2 linked regions of the Oryzias latipes genome follow. The protein of the gene in region 2 interacts with the protein of the main gene of each other region in a biochemical or structural test. Links are inferred from orthologs where the notes say so. Each region holds a gene or a part of one and is shown on either strand. Other genes may lie near its edges.

Region 1 (6,035 bases), on a different chromosome or scaffold from region 2:
TGTCTGCAGACGGCCAGAGCCTCTTCGCCCACCGCTTTTATGTCAGTGAGACAAGCTCAGAGCGGCAAAAGCAAAAGCTTGACTTTCAATGATGATTCTGCTGATGAAAGAAGCATGATGGGAAAGGAGTCACCGGTATTTACCTGCATGCGGGTCGTCCAGGTGTTTGTCCGGGTGACGCGCCAAAGCTCGGATCCTGTATTCATTCAGGATCTGTTCAGTCTGAGGAAAATCCCAGACGACATCCGCTTAGAGTCTAAAAACACAGTTCCAGCGTTTAGTCGTACTATGTGCGTTAAAATTGACGGGACTCCGTTTGCATGAGCACCAATCAGATGTGATGTGTTCATATGCACCCCGGAAATCTGTCAATTGAAGAATCCGGTCTGAAATTTAGTCAACAGACTTTAAACTTAACCTTTTGTTGTATTTTTATTGTGCGTATAAACAGAATTATCGCTAAAATCTGTTGGTTGAATTTTAAACAATATGTCGACTTTATGTAATTTTTTCAACCATAACTCAAAATAATATGCATTTCTCAATTGACATTACATTTGCTATTTGATCGTGTAATTTGCAATTCTAATATTTTGAAATCAATATTTAAAAATTACAAATTAATATGACAATTTTCAAAATAAAATAAAAAAACAGCAATTGTCAATTGAGAATTGCATATAACTCTAAATTATTGGTGAAAAAAACTTCTATACCACTTATCTGTCCTGTTGAAATGCTAAAAGTCTGACCTTTATATTCAATTAACCGAGTGATCATACAAAACTGACTATCAAATAATTGATCCTAAGGAGCTGATCTGATCCATAAACCATCAAGAGGACTGAAAGTTTGAGTCTTTCGTGCAGACAGACTGGAATAAATCTGATATGAGACGGAAACACCTCAGCCAGGACTTTCAGAATAAAATTAAAAATGTGGTTTTCATTTTTGCAACTGTAATCTGATTACTTTCGAGGATCTGATTACTCCCATTTCTCTGGGTTTTGAGGGCATGTAAACCAGTTTGGCAATCGGATTATCCTGTTAACATGATCACTTCAATAGTCTGACTGAATAAATCAGAGGATGATAATCAGATTTTCGGTGGTCACGTCATCGGCTTCAACCACCTGTGGTCCGGGATTCGGTTCTGACGCCACAGAGCACAGAGCGCGTGCAGCATCTCTTCGTGCGTCACGTGGTCTCTTTTCTCACGATGATCAACCTGCAGGTTGTTAATGGTCGACAAACATGTTTTCCTTTTCCTGCAGCTCGGGCAGGAATGACGTCATCAGAACTTACGGACGACAGCTCGTCGCACCCCAGCACTCCGTAAAAATCCTCCCGGTCCTCCGGTTTACTGCGCAGAAGGGAATCCATGGCTCTTCTTTTACCGGACCGGATCTCTGCGGTTCTGATCCAGGAAGGTCGATGGACCAACTCCCTCTTCCTGGGATGCCGCTGAGGTTCTTGGTTCTGGTTGGACTGGGATTCTGCTGATAAATCAGCTGAGTTTAAAAGAACCGAACAAGCTCTCACTTTCTCACCAACATGTGACGTGGGTTGCGTTCGAGGACCCTCCTTTGTCATGGGAGGAAACACTCCCGTTTTGGGTCATTCCAGTTAATACTAAACCTCAAAAAAATAAACTCAATGTGTAAGTATATATTGTAATTATAGCGTTTATATTTTGATATGTTTTCAGAATGCTGATAGAGAAGTTCTTGATTTAAATACATTTGATTCAGTTTCTGCCTTTTTATGCTGGAATTCTCCAAATCCGTCAACAGAGGAAGAAAACGCTTTAAACTAAAAAAATCTAATACTTTTTACAGCAATAAAAAATAACTTTACTGAGAATGTTTGCTTAAAAATTCAGTGTGCAACTGTTTTCGTGGTTGTGATTTAGTGTTTGATTTACCAAGTTCATAGTGAAAGTCTAATTTTAAATAAGCATAAAAACCTTTAACAAGCAGAAAACCTTAACACTCGGTTTACTTTTAATACGTTTAACGTAATATGCAATAATGGTAATAATAATGTTCATGCATGCAATTTTATATCAGAGCTTTTTTTTAAAGATGGCTTTTATTTTTATAACTAATTATTAGTTAGTGTGACGTCTGCTTTGAAAAATAACCATTGCTAGCAGATAACTTTCTGGTCACTTGTAAATTCTTTGTCTGATACTGAACTCAATCTTATTTATTAGACATATTTACTTCGATAGTTAATGCTGCTGATAATCTTTAAATGAGGTGTTTTCACCTTCGTTATTTATTTTTTCCTTATTATTATTTTTGCATATGTTTTAATGTCTTTCTTTTGTCCGACCGTTCATGAAGGCATCAGTCATTTGTTATGGTAGACGTCATCACGCGCGTTATGCAAATGAGCCAGCTGTCTGCTCGGCGGCTCCTGCGGGCTGAAGATGGCGGACGACGAGAGCAGCCACCGAGCGGCCTTCTCTGGAGCCTGCGTTGCGGACGAACCCGCCGCTAAGAGATCGAAAATCACTCCACCGGACGACCGCGTCTTCAGATCCATCGAGGCGGAGCCGTTTTCCTACGTCTCCCCGGCCACGGAGAGCCGGGAGGCGGCGGTGAATTGCGAGCAGCGGGCCGAGAGGGAGGCGAAGCCGGCGATGGCGGGGGAGCAGGCCGCAGCGGGCGGAGACAACAATGGGCTGGGACTGCTGGGATGCGAGCCGCCGAACCCAGCCGAGAGGCTGAGCTTCGGCTTTGGTTCTGCTGAGGGGAGAACGGGTGAGTACTTCTGGTTCCCTGACGAAGGGCTCCGTGTTTTCATCGCTCGGAACGGCTGGTTGTTAGCCCGACGTACCGAAGATGAAAGGAACCGGAAGCGGCAGGAAACAAACCGATGCTCGGCGAAGTTCTCGTTCCTGTTCGAGAACTTCGCCGACTTTGACCACGTGACTCGTGTTGACCTAAAAGTCCAAACTTTGGCGGAACTAAACCGTTTAACCCAACTGGAAAATAGAGGTTTAAAAATCCATCAATCGAGTTCAGTCAAAAACTGAACTCCGGGATTTAATTTAAGGTAATTTCCCGGATTTTCTTATGTAAAGATAATTAATTATGAAATAAAAGCTCCACATTTATCCAAACATTAGAAATGATGAATTTCTAATTAAAGTTATTAATCTCAATAGAATAGATTTAGGTGTCATTAATGAATCTTAAGATCCATCAGTTATTGGTTTATTTATAACATGGAAATAGAAAACAGAAATCAGGAATTTTCCTTTATATTAAAATTAAGAAATTAACCAGGAATCAATGAATTCCCTTTATATGATTGAAGTTCTATTAAGTTGAGGTGGCTCCAATCAGAGCAGCTCCTTCAGCTGCATTTTAGTCATCCTTTCCTGAAGCATGAATACGGTCCGCGTCGTGTGGCGGCAGAGGTCTCGGCGTTCGGCCTTTGACCTGCCGGTTTTGCCCTCTTCAGGCTTCCTCGGGGCTGACGATCTTCCCTCCAACGGTCTCGCCGTCACACCAGAACACCTTAACGACGACGATGACGGATCCTCTCATGCTAGTTCCAGCGACTGGACTCCGCAGCCCCAGATCGGTCAGAATGAGGCAGGAATGTATTTTCCGCGTCTCCCTGCAAAGCCGTTGTGAGCTCAGGTGTGTGCGTGTGCAGGTTCCTACAGTCTGATCCATCAGCACATCAGAGAGACGGACCCCAGGGCCATTCTGCGGGACCTGCTGCCCGAGACCATACTCCCACCCGATCTGGACGACATGACCCTGTGGCAGATCATCATCAACATCTCAGAACCTCCCAAAAGGAAGAAGAGAAAAGACGTGAACACTGTGGAGGACGTGGTCAGACTGCTTCATGAGAGCAAGAGGATCATGGTTCTGACCGGTGCAGGTGTAGGTGTTTCAGTCCCCAGAAGGGCTTTTTCTGCCTTCATGTTGGGTAAAGAAACGGTAAACACCGGTTTGCTTCGCAGGTTTCAGTTTCCTGTGGAATTCCCGACTTTCGCTCCAGAGATGGGATTTACGCTCGGCTTGCTGTCGACTTTCCCGACCTTCCCGATCCGCAGTCGATGTTCGACATCGAATACTTCCGACGAGACCCCAGACCGTTTTTCAAGTTTGCTAAGGTTGGAAGGTTTTTTTTGTCTCTTCCTTCTCTGGTCCGGCCCAAGTTTACTAAACTAAAGCCCCCAAAATGTTTGTGACATTTAAATGATTTAACTCACACTTCTGACTAAATTCAGATGAAAAACATATTTCACTATGTGTCTATGAAGCCTCTCATTCATCCAGGTAGATTCCATCATAGTAGTGGGTTTAGGGGCCGTCATCTGGACTTAAGAGATGGTTCGTTGTGAAGGTCCTTCACATTTCCAATTAAATATGATCTTTTGTGATCTCCTGTTTGACCCTGAAATGACCCAGAAGTGACCGGCATGCGCAGAAGAGTCCTCAACGGTGACCGACGTCACTGTTGTTTATGGAAGTAGCTAACGTTAGCAATGGATGTCAACAACAGTGTTGTCAACAGCAGAGCTATTTTTGCTTTATTACATTTATTTTCACAAAGGAGCCAGAATAATTACAATCTTCTCATTTTAAAAAGAAATTTAAAAAGGAGGAAAGTTTGTGGCCATGGCGTTTTTTGAAGCAGTGTTAGCCAAGTCTGTACAGAGAAACGTGTGGAGTGGTGGGATACTGATGTGAGGAGCCAGGATCGTCTGTACCCTCAGCCATTTAGCTGGAAATGTTTTCAAAAACTGCCCGGTTACGGTAAGAGCCCTGGAGTTTGGCCTGAATAGAGAAATATGAATCCAATCGGTGACCTCACTTCCCTAACACTGACTGGTCTCAGCAGCATCTTCGCCATGGTTGATGTTTATGATCTAGTTCCTGCCTACTTCAATGCAGAATGATGACGTTTGTAGCGTATCGATGACGTACGGGTCGGATTCATGTGGCCTGGCCGCTCAGACAGAGGTCGAAGAGATCGGATACGTATTCGATTCAGGACCACATACCAAACTGGCTTGGGTCGCATTCGAAAAAATCGGATCTGTGTCGTTCAGACTGTCATGAAAAGATCAGATACAGGTCGCATAGGGGCAAAAAATTGGAATTGGGTCGTTTCAGCCTGCAGGGTGAACGTAGCCTTTTAGGCCCGTACACACCGGGACGAATTTCGTGCGCGATATTTGCCGGCGTTTAACGCCTTGTGACTAAATAAAGGGCACCAATGTGAGTGTGCACACCGACGCGAAAAACGCCACGAGTAAAAGCGTCATTTTTTAAAAAACGCCTCGGGTTCGTTTTTTTGGTTTGACGCACCGCGTCAAAAACTACACGACCAATGAGAACGGCGTTTTTGCACACGTGTCTGGAGCTTCTGCAGTTACAGTAAAACACAACTTGGGGGCGCTCAAACACAAAACTGCCTTGCTGAGCACACATACCAGCGAAGAAGATAGACGTCAAGTTGCACCTACACTGCCACGAAGAAATAAGACGAAGAAGATGCACTCACTGACGGACATTCTAAAATATCCCCGAAAACGCTCATGATACATTTTCAGCTCTTGTACCAGTCGATAAAACTCCCCATGTTCTTCTCTTCTTGTAACTATGGGATGTACCCAAAATCGACGTCTTCTCTGGCGTCCTTCATCATTAAACAGAACAATAATTTCTTCATCGCTGGAACTGGAGCTACTGGTGCTGGAAATATTCATGTTTTCTTTGTTTGATTCTGACAAGCACGTAAATACTTGCTCTCTTCTTCTGAGTGAAAAGCGACTTTAAGAAGCGTAAAGTTGCACAGCGCCACCTTGTGTACAGGAGTATTTCTGTTTACATTAAGCGCCATGTAATGTCAGGGAATGAAATTGCATGTTCGCTCGGCTCATCGTCAGCGAAAATCGCCTGGGTGTGAACACAAAAAACGTGTTGAAAAACGCTGGCGAATAACGCCTGGCGAATATTCGTCCCGGTGTGTACGGGCCTTTAGACAACAGGGTTTCGGGT
Region 2 (5,894 bases):
GTTTGGGATAAACTAGAAACCTCCTGGCTGGGAGTCCCCCCAGAAAAAGGGTGGGTGTCAAAAAGTCCTCCAAACTCCATTTCCTGGTTGTTGATGAGTTGCAGCATGTCTGTAAAAAACAAAAACAAAAAGTCCATTAACGATCTTCAAGAACTCGTCAGTTCAAATGGGAAACAAAAACAGAACATTAAGATCGCATTCAGGCAGCACTAAAAAAAGAAAAAAGGTTTGCGTTAAAGACCCACTCCAATGAAGATTGTGTTTTTGGTGTTTTTAACATGTTCTTGTAACATTTTTCTCATGATGGAGGACATGTATAGAAGAATTGAAGCTTAAAACTGCATTTCTGAGTATTTATTATTCCAACTGTGGTTAATCAGGGCCAGATGAAAATGTGAAAATGCTCTCAGTCTCCCTGCTCCCCCTCACCCGACCTGGCCTCCGGGTCAAAACTGCACGGCTGGATAGCGTTGATATTGCTCGCCATTTTTGTTGCAGCAGTAATGTTAGCTTAGGGTTATGGGGGGCTGTAAGCCAGCGGTAGAGCGTGTAAACAAAGGGATCACGGCAAACGAGCGGAGGTCTATTTCCGCGGCCACAGCCCCTCCCACAACTCAGAGGCGAGTTTCAGATGAACTCCTGCTGCTCTGTCCTAGAAAACAACACACTTTTTTTTGGCTAAAAACAGCCTAATCTTCATTAAAAGACCACTTGGAACGCTTTTGGTAAACTGTATGTTAAATGCGTAAAAAGGGAAACACATCAGGTGCAAAACATGAATATTCAAATAATTCCTAGCTTTCATAAGCGTTAAAAGTAATTTAGTACTAACTTTACTCGTACTGCATAACTCAATAATTTCACCAACAAGGTTGAGACTAGGGGAAGTGTCTTTGGAAAAAAATAAAATAAAATGTAAATTCTTCCCCTCCAGCTGTAGGGGCATTTGAAGCTGTAGTGGTGTCCAAAATGCTTCTTGAGTGGAGAGGTGGTAGGGACTAGCTTAGGGCTAGTTATCCCTCCGTCAGTAGGGCAATCTGCATCGCACATGTGTGGGGAGAAGAAACGCGTTGCTTTACTTGTTTCACGATGAGCCATAACTGCAGGGGTAATGGAAGAATTTGGATTCGGCCCAACAAACGTAGACACAGGGACCTCTACAACCAAATTTCTCAGGAATAAAATGACTTATTTTTATCTAATTTAATTGATAACGATTCATCAAACCATAGATCACCTAATATTTGACAAAAGTTAACTAAAACAATATTTACAGTTTCAAATAACCGGATATATTTGTGAAAAAAATTATAATTTAGAAACCCAAGTGATGGAACGATGCAGCTTGTTGAAGGGAGTTGTTTTGTTGAGCGGACAAAAGCCAACAATATTTTCAACATTAAAACGAAATACACTTTTTTTTAATGAATTTAATAAAATAGGGAGCTTTTTAACCCACTCTAATGAAGGAGCAGATGAAATAAAATGCAGTTTGAAAAAACTTGTAGTTGTGACACAGAAGCTCCTATGGCAGGCCATTAGTGTAGGTCTTTGTTTTCCTCGTCTGAGCTGGCATCTGGGTCAAAAATGTACAGCAGGATAGCCCCAATAATGTTAGGTCGGGGGTTTGAGGGGCTGTAAGATAGCAGGAGAGAGTCTCTAAACAAAGGGCTATTGGGAAGTGTGGGCAGGCTTACATCGCACCAACAGCTTTGAGATTTCAGCTAAGAGGCAAAATTCTAATACACTACAGCTGCTTTGCAGAAACTATGTCCTAGAAAACAACAAAAGTTTATTGATTTTGGCTAAAAACGGCATAATCATGATAAAAAGACCAATGTGAATGCTTTTAAAATAAATCAAGATGATCGGAGTGGGACTAAAATGTGTTTTTCCCCTTTCTTTAAAAGTGTTGCATGTAATAGTATATAAATATAAAATTTCTTATGGTTGATTTCTTTTTTTCCTCTTCTTTTGTAAATAAATAAAAACAAAGTTATGACTTGTGGTAACAGCTGACAATTACAGAACTTAAATTTAAAGATGGAACAGTGATTTCTTCCTTGTGATTTTTTTTTCATGCATTCTTGTTTGATAGTTAATATTATTTCTGATTACTTGGCTATTTTTTTTCTTTTTTTGGGGAAAAATGACCACGTGCTTCTTTTTAGTCTTGCAACTACTGTCATTTAGGTTGCACGATGACGGACGGATTCATCACCTAAATAGTGTTTAATTGAGGAATTATTAAAAGGTGACCTTTATTATAAATATAATTAAATTTATTCTTCAACAAAAGACAATTTTCTCCCCACAAAATATTTTTTAAATCTATTTGGAATGAATGAACACCTAATATAAGAGAGTGGACACCGTCTGGATTTAAAGCAGCGTTGCACATGAGGTGATCGCTCCTGACCAATCACAGCGCGCCTCTCAGACTTGCTATGCCGATCAGCCCAAGACACAGAGGAGAGGGAGAGCTGCTTCAGGAGAGGTTACTATCGAGCAGCCGCGCGAGGGTTACTGTCGGTTAGATTTTCGGGATCACCTTAGCAAGACATGCATTGCCAAACACTGTTTACACAGACCACCTTATCATCTTACATGTCTGTCGCTATCAAAAATAAATATTTGCTATTACAAGTAAATTGCCAGAAATTGCTTCAGATTTATCGTAATAAAGTCGGTTTACACAATTTGTAATGAAAATTACGGGTAATACAAATCTTCGTAATAAGAGCATAGCAAGGCAGTTTAACAAGCGGATTGTTTGTGGCGTTTAAATGTTTCATATGATGATCAGCCATGACAACATTTTATTTCGGCAAAAACAGAACAATAACTCGGTCAAGTGGGGAACCTGAACTCAGCAAAGAGGAATGAACGACAGTAACCCCTGCTTGTGAATTATGCTGGGGGCGTGGCCAACTCACAACCACTTAGCAGCACGTTAGCTTTAAACTATTAGCTTATGGCTGTTTTTGATTTACTGCACCACTTCATATAGTATGATAAACGTATAAATGCCCCAGTAACATCACAATGTATTGTCCCATCTTGCGTTTAAAAGTACTTGTAAGTTAGATGGCAAACGTCGGTAGCTTCTCCAATCTTCTGAGCGAATATTCGACAGCTAATTAAGCCTGCAAACTTTCGGTTCTCTAACTCTGTTTAACACTTTATATCAACAGAACAAATAAACTCAGTAAAAATAAACTTGCACCGCTGTAAAGAACGTTAATGCATAGCGGTATGTTGGTCTAAACATTTACACAACTGGTTAACAACACAAACATGTCGCATCTTCTTTACCATCAATATCGTTCAGGAGGGCCGTGTCGATATCGCTGGGGTCATTTAGCGACAGCGTGGGATCCAGGTTATCCAACGAAGCATCATCAAACGATAGGCGATTCATCTTTACGGTTGTAATGTAACTACCTCTGCTCTAGTGTAAACTTGCCTAGTTGTCCAAAAATTTTAAGAGGAAAAAAATGGCACCCTTAAATCTCTACATTTGACCGAGTATCGGATTACAACGTAACCTGCAATTTCCAGTCAATCAACTGTTTTTACTCATGTGTCAACTATCTACTCAATCCTGCCACCATAATAAACCTGGGAAACTTGTCAAACCGAGACAAACACTGAAGCTCATTCAACACGAACATGCTTGTAGTGGAAGCCGAAGGAACCCTGCCCCACTGGTGGATGATTGACACATGAACCGGCCTATCAGCGACTGAGCACAGGATTCTCACGTTCTCGTTTCTTGTGATTGTTTTGATTAAACACAAAATAGTATGACTATAAAGAGAAAAGTCACTATTTTACAAAATATACTTTTTTAAATCAACATTTGTTAAACTGTTAAAGTTACACAGTTTGAATAAGTAACGATATTTCAAAAACTACATAATTATACGCTTGTAGTAGTCCTGAAGTACAACAATCCACTTTTGTGAAATTAATTTCACAAATATATTCTACCAAATTGAAAGTTAACGAAAAAAAGCATGTACCTGTTTTTTGTAGGCTTGCCTTGAACAGCCAATCAGCGGATGCATGGGCGTCACCTTACTAGCAGCCAAGTTTGTTTGACTCGAAGCGAGGGCTCCTTCTGTAGAACCAGTACAATTGACCAATAGGAATCTCGGAAAACGAGTGGGGTGATCCTACGTCACAGCCACGAATCTAGTGATTACATCATGTAATCATCCTGTAAAAGTAGAGTCGGCAGCTGGGTAGCAAATTGCACACGCTCCTGTTGCTTTGGAAATACAATAACGCTAAATTTTATTCACATTTTAATTAGAAATAAACCCTCAATACCCATGATGAAGTTTTTTTTCATGTAAATACATTAAATGTACCCCTACATCAGCAACTGCTAATATAAACAATGTTTCCCAAGTAAACATGAGCTCAAAATTAGACGGGTAAAATAACAATAACTGCGAGAGTAAGTCACTGACCTAAATAACACCATATAGTTATTGTTTTTTTTTATGTAAACCCGTATTGTTTCAAATGTAGGGACGTTATCAACGTGAGCACTTTTTTAATATTGCAGAGGTATGTGCACATACACAAGTGGGCAAAATCGCAGAACATAAAAAACACCTTAAAAATAACTTTTTTGTTTAGTTTATATAGGCTAAAAGATAATTCATTATGTTTTTCGGGTAGCAACAATATACATTTGAAGACGGAGAAAATAACACACAGTGGATAATAATGACAACATTTTGAGGTAGAGGTCACACACTGCTAGTGTTTTATTGGGCAGTTACATGTGTGCATAAGGCCAACCCAAATCTGACCATCATTACTGACAGCAGACATTATGCATGGAATATCCAAAGACAGAAAACAGGCCTGAGGTCCCCCCTCCCCATCTTTGACTTGTTGACATCCTGCATAATGACATTTAAAAAAAAAAAAGAAGAAAAAAAGCAGCAACCTCTTTTTTGACAAAACATTAAGGAATTCATTTTTGTACTTTCGAGAAACAATGTTTCAAAAAATACACTGTTATCCACTCAAACAACACTCAAAAGAATACCTTGTTAAATTTTTAGTGCCTTTCACTGTCAGCTTGGATGGTGCATGTTGTTTAAAAAGCTACAAAAATCACCAGGTAGACATGGTAAATGCATGTAACCATATAGTATGAAATGAGAAACATAAATCAAAATTGGTTGCCTAAATAAAATTCCAATATTTCTACCGTATTTAGAATTATAAATCATAAATGTTTCTCTCCACTTGGGCAATTGCATAATAAAATACTGATAAACGTGGCGTTTTAACTGCTTTTTATACGCATGGCTTCTCATAATAAATGGACACAAGTGGGACGTAATGGAAAATGGAAAGAAGATAAAATTCAAATTTTTGTGTGTGTGTTGTTTTTTTGCATACGCCAAAAAGATAAAAGTCAAAGCATGTTTGCAAAAAATCTATAAATGTCAGATGCTTGGCAGCAGTTTAAAAGAGCATATGAATACAAGAAAATAAAAGTAAATGGATAAAACAAAATGTTTTGGCTGTGGTATTAAATATAAATTAACCTTGTAATGTTTTCAGAAATTAGCTTTAATATGTTCTTGACTACATTCAGAAGCTAAAAGTCCAACATTACGAGGTATTCTTGCAGCACTAAGCAGGTACGGACTTAAGTATGGAAACAGGTTTTGTGCAAAACTAATATAGTGAGACATCTGTTTTGCCCTTTTACTGGATTCTGATGCAGGTGCTTTTTATATTGATCATATGGAGATGCTTTTTTTGGTTTTGTATTTTAATTGAAACTGTTTTAATATCCTTGAGTGAATTTGAAAGTGGGATGTTTGGCAGGTTTCCACTTTTATGCAAGTGTTGCAGATATA

What was found. The genes of interacting proteins can lie anywhere in the genome.
Region 1: of the proteins of srebf1 (region 2) and sirt1, one has a biochemical effect on the other in vitro, tested with the Homo sapiens proteins (2 studies listed by BioGRID, with this or other methods). The link is inferred for Oryzias latipes from reciprocal best matches to the Homo sapiens genes SREBF1 and SIRT1.

Annotation. Positions count from the first base shown.
Region 1 is NC_019873.2:29,789,793-29,795,827, forward strand, and holds the start of sirt1 (NAD-dependent protein deacetylase sirtuin-1), read left to right. Parts: upstream 1-2,399; 5' UTR 2,400-2,434; coding exon 2,435-2,768; intron 2,769-3,474; coding exon 3,475-3,597; intron 3,598-3,672; coding exon 3,673-3,908; intron 3,909-3,988; coding exon 3,989-4,141; intron 4,142-6,035. Other genes in the region: dnajc12 (dnaJ homolog subfamily C member 12), read right to left, coding at 144-222, 1,306-1,593. UniProt on the Homo sapiens protein: NAD-dependent protein deacetylase that links transcriptional regulation directly to intracellular energetics and participates in the coordination of several separated cellular functions such as cell cycle, response to DNA damage, metabolism, apoptosis and autophagy.
Region 2 is NC_019866.2:12,398,793-12,404,686, reverse strand, and holds the start of srebf1 (sterol regulatory element-binding protein 1), read right to left. Parts: upstream 3,685-5,894; 5' UTR 3,422-3,684; coding exon 3,316-3,421; intron 110-3,315; coding exon 1-109.